3 separate regions of the Mus musculus genome follow, and all the other regions are reported to be linked to region 1. The links are microRNA targets in miRTarBase. Many come from high-throughput screens and were not tested one by one. Region 1 holds a microRNA gene; each other region holds the end of a gene's coding sequence.
The links. Region 1 holds the annotated microRNA mmu-miR-3087-3p (UAACUCACUGUCAUGUCCUCA, at 872-892, opposite strand). A microRNA usually pairs through its seed, bases 2 to 8, with sites in the 3' UTR of a target mRNA and lowers its output. Matches are read on the target gene's strand: a 7mer-m8 pairs with bases 2 to 8, a 7mer-A1 pairs with bases 2 to 7 and ends in A, and an 8mer does both.

Region 2: the mRNA of Fsd1l is a reported target of mmu-miR-3087-3p. Seed matches in the 3' UTR shown: 7mer-m8 at 1,414-1,420.
Region 3: miRTarBase lists Mob3c as a target of mmu-miR-3087-3p. Seed matches in the 3' UTR shown: 7mer-m8 at 1,578-1,584.

Annotation. Positions count from the first base shown.
Region 1 is chr2:25,440,601-25,443,704 of GRCm38, reverse strand. It overlaps Mir3087 (microRNA 3087), which reads right to left and starts at 926; the gene lies at 871-926. It overlaps Abca2 (ATP-binding cassette, sub-family A (ABC1), member 2), which reads right to left. Exons shown (of 49, transcript NM_001368624.1): 23 at 2,984-3,104; 24 at 2,713-2,895; 25 at 2,333-2,517; 26 at 2,106-2,226; 27 at 1,594-1,830; 28 at 1,308-1,514; 29 at 953-1,055; 30 at 551-870; 31 at 263-476; 32 at 71-176.
Region 2 is chr4:53,700,885-53,703,988 of GRCm38, forward strand. Fsd1l (fibronectin type III and SPRY domain containing 1-like) reads left to right here. Exons shown (of 13, transcript NM_001195284.1): 13 at 157-3,104. The coding sequence ends at 279. Among named protein-coding and RNA genes, the nearest start is that of Fktn, 12 kb to the right of the region's middle.
Region 3 is chr4:115,833,563-115,836,666 of GRCm38, reverse strand. It overlaps Mob3c (MOB kinase activator 3C), which reads right to left. Exons shown (of 4, transcript NM_175308.5): 3 at 2,832-3,034; 4 at 482-2,545. The coding sequence ends at 2,516. Among named protein-coding and RNA genes, the nearest start is that of Mknk1, 4.1 kb to the left of the region's middle.

The DNA of each region.
Region 1 (3,104 bases):
AGAGAGGCTCAGAAACCAAAAGTTATTAGGCTTAGGACCAGGTGCCCAAAACCCAAGGGCAGCCGCCTACCTGAGCCACCCTCCGCACTGCAATCTTCCGCACCATAGGAGGGACCCGGGCACCAAAGGATGCTGGGATAGACTTCTGAACATTACCAAAGGTGATGGCTCCATATCTGTACAAGACAGGTGGGAGGGTCACTGAGGCTCGGCAGCCATCTGCCAGGCACCCCTTGTTCACAGCCACTTCAGGCCAACTTACCGGTGTAGTCGGAAACGGTCAGAGGTGAAGAGCAGGTACTCAGAAACATTGTGGCCAGTGATGTCAGTCAGGATGTCACCTGTGACCACTCTCATCTGGGGTGGGTGTCCACCCACACTGCTGGGGCATGAGAACCCCGTGCCCTGTGCAGAGCAGGTACAGCGGACTGGCTCATGCACTAGGCGTGGCAGAGAAGGCGCCGACGTCCACGTCTCTGTGGGCACAGTGCAGCACAATGAGATGGGTCACTCATGCCTGTGCCCCCCGGAGCCTTCCCTGAGGTAGTACCTGGCCCAGCAGTAGGTGGCAGGGACATGTTCCAGGCTTGCAGTGAATCCTCATCTGGGGACACGGGTGAGTCAGAAGGGGCGGGTGAGGGCGGAGGTGGCACGAAGTTGGACAGTGGCAGCCCCTGTGTGAAGGACTCCAGGCACATACTGTCGAAGAACCGTGCCGCCAGCAGGCGGGACTCTCCACTGCTTAAGTTCAGCATGGGTCCCAGGGAGCCGTTGGCAGGAGACTTGAGCACACAAGTGGCACCCACACCAGAGGGCAGCCGGAATGTGCTCACCAGCTGCTGGGGGCTGGCATCAGGTGACAGCCGTAATCTGAGGACATGACAGTGAGTTAGGAGCCATAAGTCTCAACTCTTGCCCTGCCCTGTGCTACAGCCCCAGCCCACGGCCTCACCGGTACTCCTGGCGTTCCTCATTGGCATAAGGGATAAAGTTGCCACGGGGCTGGGTGTAGTTGTGGTACTGAGAGGGTGACAGGACCAGTGGAGGTAGGTCACCTGATGGGTGAATACGGAGACCTGAGCAGACTGCAGTTATCTGATGCCAGCCCCAGCCCTAACACAGAGAGGGCTGAGCTTGTGGGGATGACTCCTAAGGAGACAGATCCTCTCATGAGCCCCTGAGTAAGGTTCAGAGTGTGAGGAGAGGAGCTCAGGACTGTTCTACAGGGGGCTGGGAGAAAAATGAAGCCAAGACCCAGGGGCAAGACAGTAGCCTCGCCCCAGACCACATGGGCCAGGCACCCTTACCAATCTCAGGGACAGACAACGCCACAGTCATGGCCACACAGACAAAGAAGGCAGGCAGCAGAATCTGAGAGCAGAGAGCTTTGGAGTTCCGACGAGCACAGTGGAAGCGCTTCACCAGGAGCCCATGGAACTGCCGCATCTTCAGCCACCAGCCCTCGAGTTTGCGGCTGCCCTGGCCCACCTGAGCCAGGGCCTCCATCTCTGCCTCTGTGCAGAGAGGCAGAGGTAAATAGCCAGTCCCACGCCACCCTTCTGGACCCTCCCCAGTTTCCCCATTGGCTTCCACCTTGTAAGCTGACATTGTCTGGGTCCTGCAAGTTGTCAAAGAGGGGACGGTAGTCACCGTAGCCATCAGAGTAGCCGGTGCCCTCCTCCCCACGGGCAGAGCCCACAGAGGATGCAGACTGCAGCGATGCCTGTGACTGTGCCAGCTCTGAGCACCGAGCCAGGTTGCCAGCTTGACCCCCCACAGCTGTCAGGCCCTCTGCCCCAGGCAGCACATCCTTCCGGGACTCCTTCACATCTGCAAACAACAGAGGCGGTGAGGGAGGGAAGGCTTGGGCCAAGGCTCTCCTCTCCAGGACATCTTAGTACCTCAGTCCCTAGTGTCCTCCCATAACCCCAGGCCCTGCCTTGATCCCAGCCTCTAATTCACATACCTACTCACAGGTAGGCAGAGCTACCATACCATCCACCACGAGCCTATCCTGACCCCACTTCCAGAGACTTACAGAGAAGCAGTGTCCCCAGGGCCTTCTGTGGGTAGCTGGACAGACCGCCAGCCTTGGGTGCTCTTACCAGCCTCGCTGTTCTCCAGTGACTGATCTTCTTCAGACACCTTGAGGAACACCTCCTCCAGAGTTGTGTCCATCAGCCCAAAACTGCTCAGATGGAGCGCATCCAGGCTGTGTTCCAGTTGCTGCAAAGAGATCGGGTAAGGCAGCGCCACGGAACGCAGGCAGCGACGTGTCCTTCTTCTCTCCGGGCCCCTCGTGTCCCTAGCCACCACAGCCAGCCCCACACACCTGAAAGAGGCGCTCGAAGGCCCCCTTCTTGACGGCCTCGCTGGGCAGGATGTAGGAGAGCTCGGTGCTCGTGTCTGAGACCAGCAGGGAGGAAGCCACATGCTTGCGGATGAACTGGGACACTTGCGGCTCCGAGCAGCTGCTCAGCCGAGGACAACCTGAGGGGCTGGAAGCCAGCCCTGGCTCTGGGAAGGAAGGGGGAGCAGAAGGGGATGCGTGAGAGGCTGAGGAAGAAGGGGCCTTAGTGGGCAAGCAAGTCGAGATGAGGCTTAGAGGTGTCCCAAGTCCCCATGAAGTGAGGGTGAGGTTGCACCTCTCCTAGGTAAGGAATCATGGGGTACGGAGGACCAGAGGCTGGTTCAAGTAGTCTCAGCACAGACCTTGGGAGGTGCCAGGTTCTGCAGGCTGCTTGACCAATGTGAGGCGGTACCCATCGCCATAGGCTCCCTTGAGGAAGAGGGGAGAGCCACAGCATTTGAGCTTCCCATGGGAGATGATGGCAATGCGATCCCCCAGCAGGTCAGCCTCATCCATGTGATGGGTAGACAGGAGGATAGTGCGGCCTGGGGTAGGCCAAACACCAAGGTAAGTGAACAGACAGGGCAGGCCGAGACACCACCCCCGCCACGGCCAGCCCGCTAGCCTGCTCACCCGGCTTGTACTTCAGAATGAGGTCCCAGATGGCACGGCGAGCATAGGGGTCCACGCCAGCCGTGGGCTCGTCTAAGATAATGGCTCTAGAGCCACCCACAAAGGCAATGGCTACCGAAAG
Region 2 (3,104 bases), not on the chromosome of region 1:
TTCATCTCTCCTCAGCTCGAGCACGAAGCTTATCAGTTTGGGATTTGTTGATGTTCATCCCTGTGACATTTTGCCTTTCAAATGGAAAGTTAAGGATTACTGGAGTTATAATTGGATTTGAGTTTAACTGAGACTTTGTTTTTTGTCTTCTCTTAGGTGTGGTGTGGTGGACTTTCTTTGAGTACTGGAATGCAGGTTCCAAGTGCTGTGAGAACACTTCAGAAAAGTGAAAACGGAATGACTGGTTCAACTAGCAGCCTGAACAATGTCACTCAGTAATGGCAACTCAGACTGTTTCCCTTCCCTTTGACTGTGTGGCCTTTCCCACACAGTTACTAACAGATATTTCTGAGTGGTGGAATCAGGTTTTCTATGTTCTGCTTTAAAGCCTGGAGTCTGTTAGATTAACTACCAAATAGGAAGCAGCCATGGAGGTTATTGCCTGCGTCCCAGAATCAAGCAGTTGGGGTGCAGGAGGCTGACATAGTGATATTGAGTAGTGATTAGGAAAGGGGCGGTGTTGAACTGTTTGTGTAGAAAGCCATCTTTCTGTCTCTTAAGCTCCTCTGGTTTGTCTGGTAGGTGTAATTACGCCTGGCGAGCCCTGGGCCCGGGTTGCTAAGCATTAAAAGCTTGCCTTTCTCCCTGCCCTTGCTCTGTTTCTGCTCCTCACCGGCTGTCATTACATGCTACACTGAGGCTTTAAAAACACAAGGTCCCCCAAGGCTTCCTAGAAATTGAAATCTTTGCCTAGGCAGAGAAATTGACCTATGGTGGCTTATTTTAGTCTTTTATAAATAAACTGAGTTTTTGATAGGGTAACTTATGGATTGACTAGATTCATATCACTTTCTCCTCTAAAATATTGTAGTATTTTCTTATAGTTATAACTCAAAAATATCAAGCAGACAGAGAATTTAGGCAGTGCAAAGGAGTATTCTTGTGTGTTTGTGTTGAGTCATTCTGTCCATTCCTCCACCAGCTCCTGGGCACCACCTGAGAAACCGTGCTCTCTAAGTTTGTTCTCTGCTTTGACCCCACTTTTATAGCTGTCTTTGCATCTTTGATAAAACTTCCACTTGAATTTGGCACTGATAATAATTATTGCTTATGAAAGTTTGTGAATTAAGTTCTTTATAAAGGGTAAAAAGCTGTATATTGCTGGGTTTTGTTGTTTTTTTGTTTTGTTTTTTTTTGTTTTTTGTCTGTGTAAGATTATAAAGAAATGTGCCTAAAGTATTCTTTTCTGGAATAATTTGTATGTTCTTTTATAAAGATATGGATTGGTTTACCAGCTGTTTAAAAAAAAAAACATGTGTCCTAGCTGGGCATAGTGGTGCATACCTTTAATCCCAGCACTTGGGAGGCAGAGGCAGGTGAATTTCTAAGTTCAAGGCCAGCTTGGTCTATAGAGTGAGTTCCAGGACAGCCAGGACTACACAGAGAAACCCTGTCTCAAAAAAACCAACCAAACAAAAACAAAAACAAAATGTGTCCTACTTAATTGGTATATGTGTTTTTCAAACAATCATTTGAGGGGTGTTTTGATTTGGTTTGGTTTTTGTTTCTGTCTTTTTGGTCCATTCATTCACTGTTTAAAAGTTTATGATTCTTCCAAAAATGAATATAGTTTCCTTTTTCAAATCTGAAGGCATGTGGGAAGCAGTGAGCAAAACCTGTGGTTATTAACGGAAAAGTCTTTTATTACAAAGTCAATTAAAACTTTTCATTCAAGGTTTTTGAGCCAAACTAGAAGTTGAGATTGTAAAACTGCTTTAAGAACTTTAAAGAAATGAATATTTGATCTCTGATTAATTTTTGAGACTTCTAAATCTCTTCTTGTTTTAAGTTTCTTGGACTTCTGACAAACTTCCCTGGAGAAGTGTTCATTTTTGTTTTCTTCATGTAGCTTGTAGATCATAATAAGTATTTGCTCTTAAAATTTACTACTTAGTAGCATGATTATTTTTGTTCTGTTGATGAAGCAAATTTGACAGAATATTATTTCTCCATATCACACATATCTACACTATTATCTGATAACACACTGGTAGTTTTTAAGACTAAGGCAGTTTATAGAATGAAGTATATCAATATTCTTTTGGTTTCCCAAAGCAATATTTTACTTTTCATTTATTATAGTTTGAAAGACATTTTTCATTGTTCCATTACCTATAGAAATGGTATTTCATGACCTAGGGAAAAAGGAATTACTCCTTTTTGTAGACTCATACCTGAAAGCAGTGATTTACTAGAATTGCTTTGTGTGGCTACTAAGTTTATTTTGTCAAAAATGACAAGGAAAAAGCCAGCTGTTTTCATAGACCTTTTCATTATGATACTGTATCTTGCATAGTTGAATCTTCTCATTTATACAGTGCCTTTTTCTCATGCTCATTGTCTACTGACTTTAAGGCAGGCAACACTGGACCATAGTGGTGCAGGCCTTCTATTGAGGCCAGAGGAGCAAGTGTGCTTCTTCCTTGTCCTTGTCCCATCATTGAGACCTTCATCTACAGTTTCCAAACAGTCATTGGAAAACGCACGACAGTTACCCAGAAGGTTTTATTTCTCAGCAGATTTGTAGAATGAAGTATAACGTCAGTGAATGAGAGTCCAAGTTCTTATCACACGATATTAGGTACTAATTATACCCTCATTGCTTTAAAATACACATCAGGGTCTCTTTTAAAAATAGAACAAATCTGTAGTATTTAAGTTTAAAAATCTTAAGTTTATTATGTTAAATTGAATTTTGTCAACCCTTCTTTTTAAATTAAAATAATTGAATAGAGTGCCTAGTTAAATTTTCTCAAAGCAAGGTAACTGCTCAGCTCAGTCAGCTGTGGCAAGCTGGCCAGCCCTCTTCACTCCAGCGTTCTTCACTGCTCTATGTCTGCTTACACAGCTTGGACATGGCTGCTTTCCATGAAGGAAATATAGGGGAGGTGGACTGTAAGGGATATATAACCAGTGTGAAGAACTGCTTCATAAAATATGTATTAAGTATTGTATTTCCCTCTTAGCAGTTGAATCCAAACCAGTTTCATTTAGCTGGAAGTAGACAGGAAGGAGCTGCCTTAAGCACTTTAGAAAAAGAATTT
Region 3 (3,104 bases), not on the chromosome of region 1:
TGTCTGAGTGGTTGTGGTTTAGGGGCAGTGAGTTCTAGCTGTCTCCTGGGGAATATGCTCTGGATTGAAACCTGCCCTACCTCCCCTACTTTGAGTCCTGAGAGGGGCTCCTTGTTCTGTGGTTGGGGTTGGGGCTGTATTTCCTACTGCACTTTTAGCCATCGGTTCTTCCAAACCACCCTGACATGAACCAGCATTGCCAGTGTCAAAACAAGGAACAATTCCCTCCTTTGAATGAGTACCTTGGAGGCACACCCTGCACTGCCCTCCTACGACATCCTCAAGGCTCTCGACTTATCTTACTCTACGACTCAGAGCCCTGGGAGAACTTGGGTGTCCCCACACTGGGTAGCTAGTCAGTCATGACTGTGCCCATATGGTCCAGGAGCTTAGGACAGAATGTCTTAATCCCACTCTAACGGTCTCTCCTACAATCCACCAAGACACGTGTGGCACCCAGAACACCACTTCCCACCAGTGGTTGCTTTAGTTTGTATCTTTTATTTTACAAAAAAATAGCAAAATCTTTCTTTTCACAAAAATAGATTTCCCTCCTCCCCCCTCCCCTGTGGTCCCTTTTCACAGCCTAGATTTCAGAATATATTCTGCAGCCCACCGTGGGGGGAATCTCCCACTGTCCTCAGTTCTGAGACATTGCCAAAGCTGCAGGCCAGCCTGTTTCCCTTGGGGACTTTTCTGGAGCCAGCAGACATCCCAGGTCCTGCTGCCCCGGAGAGCCCCACTGTTTCTTTGGAAGGCAGGCAGTTCCTCAGCCATAAGAAGGGGCCTGGTTTTGGAGGTTTGCCTCAGCAGCCATCTCTAGCCAGGCCAGGGTGTGGTAGGGCTTTGTGGCATCAGGCTAGAAATCCTTACTCAAAGCAGAAACAGTTGTGTCCTGGAGAGTGTCTGACAGCCTCTATTTGCACATGCATCTTGGTGTTGCAATCAGCAGGCCCTAGAGTAGAAGTCAAGAGCTTTGAATTTTTACCGGTTTCAATTTCCTCCAATGCATATTGAGAGACAGAGACAATATTCTTATGTGACTTCTTGCCCTCCTGGCCTCTCAGGATAAAGGCTCTGGAAGGGCAGAAACCTATTTCTGCCGGTTTCCCTGCCTGTGAGTCTGTGCAGAGGGCTCAGCATGGAGGTATTAAGTAATGGCTAATGAATAAGCATCCTAGCCTCTCTGGATAGCTGTGGCTTGGAAATCCAAGAAGCCTGAATGTATCAGGAGGCTGGGCCGAGGCAGGTGTTTTTAGGATGGGAAGGTCTCCATCAGTTGCATGATCCTCAGTGTCCTGAGATAGAAGAAAATTGGATTCTTCAATTCATTCAAGTTCCAGTGGCTCCCTGGTCTGGAGGGCTATTTTGTGCTGGCCTTCAGTCATGTCAGTAGATTCTGGGTTTGAGATTGAAGTATCTTGTGTCCAAGTTCAAGATCCAGGGGACCCTGAGGGATCAATCCCAACCCTCAAGAGGCTGACCATATGTTTGCTTGTTTTTTTTGTTTTTGTTTTTGTTTTTTTGTTTTTTGTTTTTTGAGACAGGGTTTCTCTATGTAGCCCTGGCTGTCCTGGAACTCACTCTGTAGACCAGGCTGGCCTCGAACTCAGAGATCGAACCTACCTCTGCCTCCTAAGTGCTGAGATTAAAGGTGTGTGCCACCACTGCCAGGCTCATAGGCTTAATGATATCAGGCCCTGCTAGAGGCAGAGATGAGTGAACTAACAATCCATAGACATCCTTGGCTGGGCAAATCAGCCCACATGGTGATAGGTCAGAGGTTTAAGGAACTCAGGGCAAAGCTGCACTGTCTAACCTCCACTCAAATGCCAGGGACTCATGTTTATAGAAGATGGTAGTCTAGAAGATTCAGAGGTACAATTCCATCTATACACACACATTTGTACACTTGTACACATGGTCAGAGTTGGGTCACTAAGCTGTCATTACTCCTAAAATGGTCATGGACTTATAGTTAACCTCTCCATCTATCTATACATCCATCATCTATCCATCCATAATGAGAGCCTACTATGTGTCTGGAAGGACCTAGATCTCTCAGACAAATCCCACAATCACACACACACACACACACACACACACACACACACACACACACACACTTGCTTACTCAGGAACAGGCACTCACTCTCTATAATTTTCTTGCCAGCACTCAGCCACATCCTTATTCCCCCATGGAGTTGGGAACTGTCATGGTAGAGTGTAAGGTTGAAATATCAGAGCAGAACCCTGGTAGCCTGCCCTACTCTTGGACTTAATATGAGGGGCTAAACTCCTTTTCTTCTGTGGCCCACTTGGAACCCTCCCTTCTTCATGCATTCTAGGATGCAGACAGACTTCTGAGAAGTCCAGAGGTGTTGGGTCTATAGAGGGTTCCTACTCTTAAGCAGGCCTTCAGATTTCTCTACCCACAGGCTCCTAAGGGTCCCCTCTCCAGGCTACACTGTCTGCAGATGGTCCATCTGACAGGCAACAGCATCCAGATCTGGACTCAGTGACAGATCCGTTCTGTCATCTCCCTCTGTAGAGACACAAAGTAAGGAAGGGTTAGTTTGATCTCAGCTTGCCAGGCAACTCCTTGCCAAATCATGGGGTTTATTGAGCCTCACCCCTCCACCCCTAAGCTGCAAATCATGGCAGCAGATCTGGAGTTGTAAACTGACATCTCCATGAATTCTCTATGAGAGTACAGAATCTAATGATAAATGAGTTGTAGCCCCTGGGTATAGGCGTTTCATACAGCTCCTTTGGATCTGAACTTTCAGGAGCGAGCACTGGTAGCACAGGGTAGTGAGACATGACCTTACCAGTGGCTCCAGTTCCCTCTGGTCCACCAGGCTGAACTCCTGGATGAAGTAGTAAAAGTGCTTATAGCAGGTGTTGACATGTGCCTCCGCCCCCATGCTGAGGATGCTGTCAAAGTGGTGGATGTAGACATGGACAAAGACTCGGAAGAGTCGGGTCAGGATCTTGGTGCAGACCTGCTGGAAGTTCTTGGGGAAGGGAACTCCTAGGGATGGAGATGAGTGGAAGAGGAATCAAAATCCTAGGGAGAAAACTCTGCCTCCCCCCACCCAGGC